2 linked regions of the Nothobranchius furzeri genome follow. The protein of the gene in region 1 purifies or fractionates together with the protein of each later gene. This does not show direct contact. Links are inferred from orthologs where the notes say so. Each region holds a gene or a part of one and is shown on either strand. Other genes may lie near its edges.

Evidence for each region.
Region 2: the proteins of rabggtb (region 1) and rap2c purify together in Homo sapiens (co-immunoprecipitation; 3 studies listed by BioGRID and IntAct, counting the BioPlex papers as one, with this or other methods). This does not show direct contact. The link is inferred for Nothobranchius furzeri from reciprocal best matches to the Homo sapiens genes RABGGTB and RAP2C.

The regions. Positions count from the first base shown.
Region 1 is NC_091751.1:41,398,736-41,403,598, reverse strand, and holds the start of rabggtb (geranylgeranyl transferase type-2 subunit beta), read right to left. Parts: upstream 3,007-4,863; 5' UTR 2,886-3,006; coding exon 2,883-2,885; intron 2,670-2,882; coding exon 2,562-2,669; intron 2,028-2,561; coding exon 1,830-2,027; intron 1,696-1,829; coding exon 1,590-1,695; intron 1,389-1,589; coding exon 1,336-1,388; intron 1,147-1,335; coding exon 1,036-1,146; intron 924-1,035; coding exon 798-923; intron 693-797; coding exon 543-692; intron 470-542; coding exon 329-469; 3' UTR 1-328. UniProt on the Homo sapiens protein: Catalyzes the transfer of a geranylgeranyl moiety from geranylgeranyl diphosphate to both cysteines of Rab proteins with the C-terminal sequence -XXCC, -XCXC and -CCXX, such as RAB1A, RAB3A, RAB5A and RAB7A.
Region 2 is NC_091741.1:84,823,790-84,828,779, forward strand, and holds the start of rap2c (ras-related protein Rap-2c), read right to left. Parts: upstream 2,992-4,990; 5' UTR 2,168-2,991; coding exon 1,895-2,167; intron 1,469-1,894; coding exon 1,190-1,468; 3' UTR 1,183-1,189; exon of another isoform or gene 1,170-1,182; intron 1,099-1,169; exon of another isoform or gene 732-1,098; intron 722-731; 3' UTR 1-721. UniProt on the Homo sapiens protein: Small GTP-binding protein which cycles between a GDP-bound inactive and a GTP-bound active form. May play a role in cytoskeletal rearrangements and regulate cell spreading through activation of the effector TNIK.

The DNA of each region.
Region 1 (4,863 bases):
CTTTTATGATTAAAAAGCAGCTACGTAACTGCTAAGAGTTTAAGGTGCCAAAAACACTTTTTCCTCCCGGCTGAATCCAAAGTTCCACATAAACAATAATATTAATTCTTAGCTGCAGCTGATGGAAGTGATGCATTTAAGTGTAAGGAATGTGTTTTTAAATTATGTTTAAACTTCAACAGCTGAAACACGATACGCTGGATAGAAACGTGAGCAGAGGAAGGATTAAGGCCGAAGAGTGAAACAGAGATGAGTCCGGATCCACTTCCTGCTTCCAGCTGAGGGGAGTTTATGTGAGGGTAGCGGTGTTTGTGAGGATGATGATGGGCTAGCTGAGGAGGTCGGGCTGCAGGTGGACCCTCTGCAGGACGTCCTCCGGCATGCACAGAACCGGATTTACTGCCTTGATCTGCTCGTCGCCGAGGAGAGAGAGACCGGCGATCCCGAACAGAGTGTGGAAAGGATCCACCTGCAGAGGAGAGACCAGAACATTCAGAACACTGGAGGAAAATCTGAGCTCTGCTTTTCAGAACACGTCTCACCACGTCTCCTGGTCGGTCTGCAAAACCTCCCGTCTCCTCGTCCTGACAGGCCAGAATAAACCGCCGCAGCTTGGCTTTGTCGATCCAGTGGATCCGGCCGATGATCTTCAGCGATGCCAGAACCCACCACGAGTAGCAAACATCTGGGAGCTGCGTCAGATGGAGGTTTGATTAAAGACAAGTCTTAAAAAAAGGGTTTCTTTGGTCATTTTTCCAAACAAATCTAAAACCAAACATCATCAGGAGGTGGCAGACCTTCTCTGGTCTCCCGTTGAGGCCTCCAGATGGCAGCTGCCTCTCACAGAGCCACCAGCCCAACAGGTCGGCGTTCAGCTGGTGCAGCTGGCCAGTGAGCGACAGGAAACCAGTGCAGCAGTAAATCTTATGAAAGCGTAAAAAAGCAACAGGGGGTTTAATGTCAGAAGATTTTTCATTCTATTATAAATTGAACCTTTAGGTTTTTTTACATTGTTGTTTGGGGACAAAAACTCACCTGACCAGCGTGAGACTCTGAACCAGGTCTGCAGCCAAAACCTCCATCAAAATTCATACAGGACAGGACGAACTCAACCGCCTTGTCTACGTTTATCGAGTCCATTTTCCCCTGGGAAAGGACAGATGAAGACTAGAAAGTAATCTTCAGAGGTATGGTTAATCTGACTAAATAACAAACTCACGACCTCCTTTAAAAAGTTCACAGACATCAGGAAAAAAGATGCAACTGAGTGAGTTTTATCACAGAACTGTTGGTTCAGCCTGCATTACGGTTATTTTCAGACAAACCCGTACGTACCAGTAACGCTAGCGTAGCAACCGCACAGAAAGAAAAGCGTGTGTCTATTTCTCCTGAAAAGAACGAAAACTTCAGTTACGATAAAGATCTTTAAATAATCTTATAGTTAAAGCTTGTGCACAATTCCAGATGCAGCTCCTTATTCTCAGACATCTAAGAGTTTGTTGTGCAGGTTTCTCTAAAGAGCTGCTTTGCTTTGTGAAAATGACTTTTTATTTTTACTCTAAATGAAAGAGAGAGTAAAGCTCGCTCACCCCATTTGTCCCCTGCAAAAGAGCCATCCTCCTGCTGAAGCCCTTTCACATATTCCACCACTTTGTCAACATCGATCGCATCCAGGCTGTCATACAAGCACAAGATCTGAGAAAGACGTGTAAAAATAAAAAGATGTCAACTAAAAACCTTAAAGAAAAACACATGTGATCGTTTAGCTCATCTGAGTTTTCCTCACATCCTTAGCATTTGTGATTTATTATAATGAGGCTTTGTGTCACCTGGATGGCGCTGAGGGTGTACAGCAGGTGTGGGTCATGTCCAATACTGGCGCTGACGCCTCCACACTCGTGTTGGCAGGCTTTGATGAAGTCTATGATCTCCTGACGGCTCATCCTGGGCAGCTGACCCATCAGATCCATCACCGTCAGCCCCCAGTAGATACCGCTCATCCTCAGGTACTCTGACAGTGTGTACTCCTGCAGCACAGAGGTGTCAGATTTCATTAACACCAAAGACCAGGTACAGTTTGATTTTGGGTTTAAAACATTATTTAATTCCTGTTGCAAAAACCCGTTAAACCAAAGTAAAATTTCTTATTTGTGCACACAATCTTAACCAGTGAATCAGATGATCAGGCTGCTGTAGTTGCTGAGAGTTGTGGAGGGCAGTTCAAAATTTTGCCTTCTTGGCAATCTGTTTTGGGTCCAGGGGAGATCCCCACTGATGTGGGTGCTCATGAGACGTGAGGGCCGTCTCTTTAGTCTTATAATTATTTTTTAAAATGTACATCTTTGGTTTCTTTAAAGCATTTTCTGTCTTTTTTAATATACTTTGTGGAAAATTGGGACAAAAAACTTACCTTTTAAAACACCTGAATGCATCTTTTATCTTAACCCAAAATAAATAAATAAAACGTTTAAAACTTCTGAAACGAGGTTTTATCGACAGAGGCAGATAAAAACGAGACGACACAAATCCTACAAACTAAGTGTAAATAAAACGTCACTCACATAGTCGTCCTTCTTGGACCCGTAGGCAGCGATGTAATCTGCATGTTTGTCCAGCAGCAGCCAGCTGGGAGCGTCAGGTTTAATGATGACATCTTTTAGTTGAGCACTCTGACAAAAACACAACAGAAACGGTCACAAGACACAACTACGCTGTAGTTAAACGAATACAGGAGGACACATTGTTATGACTAGCTGCTAAATGCTAACAAGGGTAGCATCCACTTCGGCACAGCATTTAAATAAAGAAGACAAGATAACATTTACACACACTTTAATTATAAAACGATGCTCTAAAGCACAGAAGAACAAGTGACGGATTACCATTCTGACATATTTTGCATGGTCAAGCTACTTCCGGCCTTCTTCTTCTACGGTTTTAAATGTCGTATAGTTTCAGACTTTACCGCCACCTTCTGGTTTGATTGAAGTATTACAAGAACAAAATATCAATTTGAGTTATTTATTGTGCGGTTTTGAAATCAAAAATACTAAGTGTTTTGTATTTGTACTTTTAGTGATAGTATAGTAAAAATATGTAACTATTCTAGGGAAAAAACTGGAAAAGTTACTTTTACTTTACTTTTACTTTGCCCATCAGCCAAGGCCAACATTAGAAACCTAGGAGTTATTTTTGATCCAGCTTTAAGTTTAGACTCACGTCAAAACCATCTCCCGCTCTTGTTTCTTTCAACTGAGAAACATTTCAAAAGTCCGTAAACTGGTTTCTACTGCAGATCTGGAAAAAATCATCCATGCCTTTGTGTCATCACGCTTAGACTACTGTAACGCTCTTTTTACTGGTCTCAGCAAAACCTCCCTCTCACGCCTTCAAGCCATCCAAAATGCAGCAGCTGGACTCCTAACCAAATCCAGCAGACGAGCTCACATCACTCCAGTTTTACAGTCCCTCCACTGGCTCCCGGTAGAATATAGAATACAGTTTAAAGTTTTAGTCCTCCTGACCTATAGAGCTCTTAACAACCAGGCTCCAAGCTACCTATCTGAGCTTTTATCCCCACACATCACCTCTCGGAACTTAGATCCACATCTGAAAACCTCCTGGCTGTTCCTCGAACCAGACTGTAAACCAAAGGGGACAGGGCCTTTCAGACTATTGGCCCCAGACTTTGGAACAGTCTACCTTCAAATCTCCGTCTCTCTAACACTGTAGAGGTCTTTAAAAATCATCTAAAAACTCACCTTTTCATCCAGGCGTTACCTCCCTAAATGTTTCAAAAAGATGGTTTTGTTCGAGTTCACACCTTCCCTTTGTTTATACTCATGATTTTATTTTCTACGTTTATCACTGCTATTGTTTTTCAGATGTTTTTATTGGTTAGAGGTATTTGCTCTGATCTTTATCATGTTGTGATTTATATCTGTGAAAGGCGCTATATAAATAAACTTTTACTTATTCATCAAAAAGCTTCCTTTAAATTATACCATTAGCTATCATATTTAAAACACCTATTCTTCAGGAAATACATCAGTAAAGTTTTAACAGAAACTAGATTTAAAAACGGCTACAAATACGTAAAAATGTAACATGACTAACATTTAAAGCGTTAAATGTTTGTTTACAATCAGTACATATAATGGTGATCAGTTTTTTTTTTTCATTAATACATTTAGGATTTCCTTTGTTCACTCATCCAAAAGAATGACCGACATCCATAAAACCAAACCATATAATCCAGAATGAATTTATTAAGTGGACGGCTCAGAAAAATCATACAGCATTACATCCAACATTAGTGAGCAAGTGTGCAGAAGTTTACCATAATGTTGATAATGTCTGCTGAGTGGAACTGGCTGACAGCATGCAGAATTACTTCCACACATTCTAGTGTTAAATGAATTTATACAACTTTACACATTTGACCAGAGTCAGTTGTGTGTTTAAGGCATGACTACAGGCATGAAGACAAGTTAACAAAAATCACAAAGGTGTGAGCCAAGTCTGAACTTTGACCTTCAACCGGATTTTCATTAAAAAAAACATCTTTATCAACAAAACACTCGTGAACGAGAATAACTGCAACAGTTTTAGTTCAGAAACAGATTTCCTTCTAAACACATTTATTTGTATCCTGCTGATGATCATTTCCAACCTGAACAGACTCTCTTTCCTTCACATTCAAAAGATGTTTTTGTACAAAATGTGCTAAACTGGAAACAACACGATTATTTATGTCTTAAAAATGTTTCCTTTTCGTGGTCTGAACTTGTTTGATACTGCAGAGCAGAATGAATCCGTTTTAAGGCAAACAACATCTAGAGCTGCATCCTGAGGCCAGATTAG
Region 2 (4,990 bases), on another chromosome or scaffold:
TATGACAAAACTCAGGCTATTAAGTGAGAAATGGCTCGATGTCATCACTTCAAGTTTAAATGGTGCACTTTTACCTTTGAGCTTTTCAGGTAAGTTCAGCTGCCTCAGGTCACTTTTAATATATAGATGTTTAACTGTCCTTTTACACTAGTTTTATTTTAGTACTTAACCCACAGTTACACAATCTCAGAAAAAAAATAATCTATCAACATATACTGCTGTGGTCTGTGTCAGTTAGAGGATACTTGGAGTTTCAGAATAAGGTGAGCAGTACACCTGGGCAGCACACTGGTTTGTGTATGCATGGTTAAAAGTCAAAACGCTTCATTAATATGAAATACTTTATCAAATTCCAAATTTCAGACATTATACAAGTAATATTAAAGAATATAGTAATGATTAAAGCAGCTTTAGAAAGGTGCTGCAACCTCACACATCAGTCCTGCTTCAAGAAAACCATCTAAAAATGGATAAAAGAATAAAACCAATAAGACAGAAATTCACAAAGGACTGTTCTTCCAAAGAAGGCGTGTGCCTGACTGCTTCCCGCTTCATCAAAAAGGCTGTTGAGGTTGCAGCAAGAGCATCGTCCAACAGTTACAATATCAAAAATAGGAGTGATGTCTTCTTCTGTCAGTCAGAAACCACTGATCCGGTAGGTTGTTGTCAGACACGAGTCAGGTAGTCCTCAGGTTCTTCTAAATGCTTGCGGTGATCCAAACTTTTTAGATTTTAAAAGAAGAAAAAAAAAATGTTAGTTAATGAAATGAGTTGAAAAGGTCAGTGGAAGCTGGTAACAAAGGCAGCATCTCTACTAGACTGAACTTCCTGTTTTGGAGGCTAAATTCTCTCTCAGGATGTGACTTTTTCCTCTTTCCGCGGATCAGCTGACAACTCTTCTGGGTCTCTTTCCTTCCAGTTCTGAGCTGCTCAGATAGCTGGGTCCTCTACGTTCTGTGATCTTATGATAACAAGCTTACAAACGGTTTGCAGCGCCACCCACTCGTCATTCTCACTTCCAGCCAAATCCCTCCATTTCTTCACGCTGCAAATGAAAACGCCACAGTACCAGTCCATGTGTCACTTCCCCCCCTCAGCCTGTGAAGCATTTTTTTACACAAGCAGCAAGGACATTTCATCACATTTTGTAAAATTAGTCAGGATTCAACTGTGCATACCTACGTCGACCTCACTGCACCACGCAGGCCGTACAGCACTGCTCCTGCTTCTCCGGCAGCGTGGAGTAGTTCATCTGTCGCACGATTTCTGCAAACAGCTCATCCACCATGGTCTTGCTCTTGGCAGAAGTTTCAATGAAGGGGCAGCCCCACTCTTGAGCCAGAGCCCGTCCGTCCGATCCGGCGACCTCTCGCTCAGATTCCAGATCCACTTTGTTGCCGACCAGGATCAACGGCACCTTCTCAAAACGCTTCACTCGTACGATCTGGTCTCGCATCGGCCTGATATCCTGAAAAACACACAAGCACAGACATGTGGGAATGCATAAAAGCTCTAAGGAACAAATTAGTAGTTCAGGCTTTACTAATATAAAGACGAATGTGTTTTCTTGCAATCTTCCACTAATTTTACAGCGAAGCTGTAGGTTAAATGGTTACCAGGACATGCAAAGTGGGGAAAAATAAGAACAAATCAAGTAAAACTAGTGTTCGTTGCTTTGACGGGTTTTTTGACATTTTAGTCTCAAAACATCGTTTTTAACCATTTTATTTGTTGTCATAAGCTGATGAAGAGTGTGAAGCTTCTTTTGAGTTATTATAAGGTCACTACAACAACTCTCACCTAAAGAAACGGGTTTAATTGGACCCTTATGACCAAATAACTCCTGTTGATCTATAAAGTTTCTCTGCACTGTGGAGGTTTCCAGCAGGGCTACCTGGAAGGACTGCTGGTTGACCAGGCTGTAGACCAGGATGAAGCCCTGCCCGTTCTTGATGTACAGGTCCCTCATGGAGGCGAACTGCTCCGTCCCCGCCGTGTCCAGTATCTCCAGCACGGAGGGCGATGAGTCTACCTCGATCTCCTTTCGGTAAAAGTCCTCGATGGTCGGGTCGTACTTCTCGATAAAAGTGCCGGTGACAAACTGGACGGTGAGCGCGGACTTCCCGACGCCACCGCTCCCCAGCACGACAACTTTGTATTCTTTCATTGGGGAGGTGGAGGCTGGCTAACTCGGCAGCTATACTCCCTCCATTAACACCGCACAGGCCTTAAAAATATCTAACAGAACAGCTGGAAACAGTTAGACGGCATGAAACAAGCTCTGCTCATTCACATAACGCCCATTTCTGACACACATCTATGTTTTCTAACTCTTGTTAAATCGCGGTGAAGCTACCTCCAGTCTGGCTAATTTCCAGCCATTCCATTCCGGAGGCTTCGAGCCTTCACATTCGATCTGAAGCACCGCAAGTCGGCTTGGACTCAACGGAGAACTCGCTGTCTGTAGGCAGACAGCGAGTCACCGTGATCCACATTCAACCTCCTCTACAGACACCATACCACCTTCCCCGCTCACACACCAGCCTGCTGGTGTCGCAGCGCTTTCTTGTGTCCGGGTCCGGGCCTGGCTCTGGTTCCGGCCCGGCCCGCGGCCTCGGTAGCCAAGCGTCCTATCAACGCAGGTTCGGTGTTGCAATCCACCAGTCCATTAGCTACAGTTCTTAAGCAGTCCTCGTGTGTGCTGGACTCTGTAGATCAGTTTTTCCAGCATAAAGGAAATCTTTTCTCCACCGACTGATTTCCGGAAGCTGACGGGCTACTTCCGCACCGTCAATGCTTTCAAAATAAAAGCTCTACAAACTGGAATTAGGCCCGAGTATGAAAATAAAAGGAGCCAGCTGTTTTCCATCCATCCATTGTCTGAACCCGCTTGCCCATGCAGGGTCGTGGGGGGACTGGTGCCTATCTCCAGTGGTCAATGGGCAACCAGGCGGGGTACACCCTGGACAGAGTCCATCGCAGGGCAACACACACACACACACACACACACACACACACACACACACACACACACACACACACACACACACCTAAGGACAATTTTTAGACAGACCAATCAACCTAACAGTCATGTGGGAGGTAGCCAGAATACCCGGAGAGAACCCACGCATGCACAGGGAGAACATGCAATCTCCATGCAGAAAGATCCCAGGCCGGGAAGTGTACCTAGGACCTTCTTACTGCAAGGCAATAGATCTAACCACTGAGCCACTGCCTGGAGACAGCTGTTTATTTATTTATTTTTGTTGAATTTGGCCAATGAATGCACCATTCTACACAAGTTAACTGTGAAAATTAGTTTTAATGTTGAGTTATAATAAGAAATCATGATTTTCAGCTTTGTTTGTAAAGTTATCTTTGTAGTGTTGCTGTTTATTTATTTCTGATGATAGTTTTTTTTTTGCCAGGAAAGATTAATCATATCCAGTGTTTTGTGGTATACTCTGATTGGGAAAATGTAATCCTTTCAAACATATCGTGTTTTTCAGCTGATTCTAATGGTTTAACAAAAAATCAAAAACAAAATAAATCTGATCTCAGACAAATCTCTGCTGTAAGGCACATAGGGAGAAAATTTGTAAAAGAATAACCAAAAAATATAAATTACAACATGTGTTGGAGATCACTCTCGCCTTTTGTTTCTTGATTTTTTAATTTGTGATCCTAAGGATTTCCTGCATTTTTTTTTTTTGCCAACGCATGAAAAACAAATCACTAACTGGTTCATCTGTGATGAAATATTTGTACAGAGTCTTTATAATATATGCAGAGTCTCAAAGGTTCAATATAGGGATGCACCGAAACTGATATTGGTATTGGGTCAATATCGATACCAGTATTGGTTTAGATATATCAGTTCCTAGCATTGGTTACCTTTTACCAATACCAATGCAGTTGCCTCAAAGTTGCTTTACTGTAACTTCTCATTTCTGTTTGCCTAATATTTTAGTTTTGTGATCATTTTTATTAATATATTTCATTTTTTATCTACCTCACAGTCTTTTCCTGTTGAAAGCAGAGACGAAAATAAAAACCTGTAATCCAATTCATAGCTTTTTTTTGTGTGGTAGATGTATCAATATCGTATTGGTTTTTAGCAAAACGTTGTATCGGTGCATCCCTAGTTCAATATGTAAGAGTTTAACTGTGAAATAATCACAAAACAGTCTAATGTCTCAATCCTGTTGGAAGTGAATTTATATTGATTTATTGTTTTCCTTCTCAGCCGGCTGGGGGGGGGGGGGGGGGGGGGTCAGTTTTTCTCCTTTAAAAATGGTCAAAGACGGATGTAGTTACTGTTTGAGATCTATGAGCCTGCAAGCTTGTCGATTCTGCATGAGCCAACACTGCAGCTCTGGAATTTGTAACTTGACACTAGCAGGCAAAAAGCTCCAGAGTTGTTCAAAAACTTAAGCCAGAGCGACCCGGAGTGACCCTTAAAAGCCACGGAATCTTTTATCTACAGTAATATTGGGTAAAGAAGGCTAGAGGCTAATGTTGAGCTAACCATGCTAACAGTGAACTAGAAGCAAATAGTGGGCTCTGAAAAAAATCTGAAGCTACTTTTCAATGGTCAACAACATTTTATTACAGTAAAATGTATTTATGTACTTATGAACGTATTGTGTACGACGCATCTTCGCTTGTCATCTAGAATCTTCTGGTGCAGATCCATAACTGGCAACGGCCATGACATTAAAAGAATGGTAGGTAGAAAGTCACTCATTTGTTTTGAAAATAGGCAGCAGTACCCACATGTGACCACAGGATGTCAGTATATTAACCCTCTGATGCATGAATTATGAGATCTTCAACCATGATTTTTTAAACAATTTTTTTCATTCATCTTTAGGTGTGAATGAAACAAATTTCAACAAATATTTTTTGTGACATTTTGTTAATTTACAAATACTTTATTACATGTCCACCTCAGTGGACAGCGTGCATTCTGAACATGAAATATGGTGGC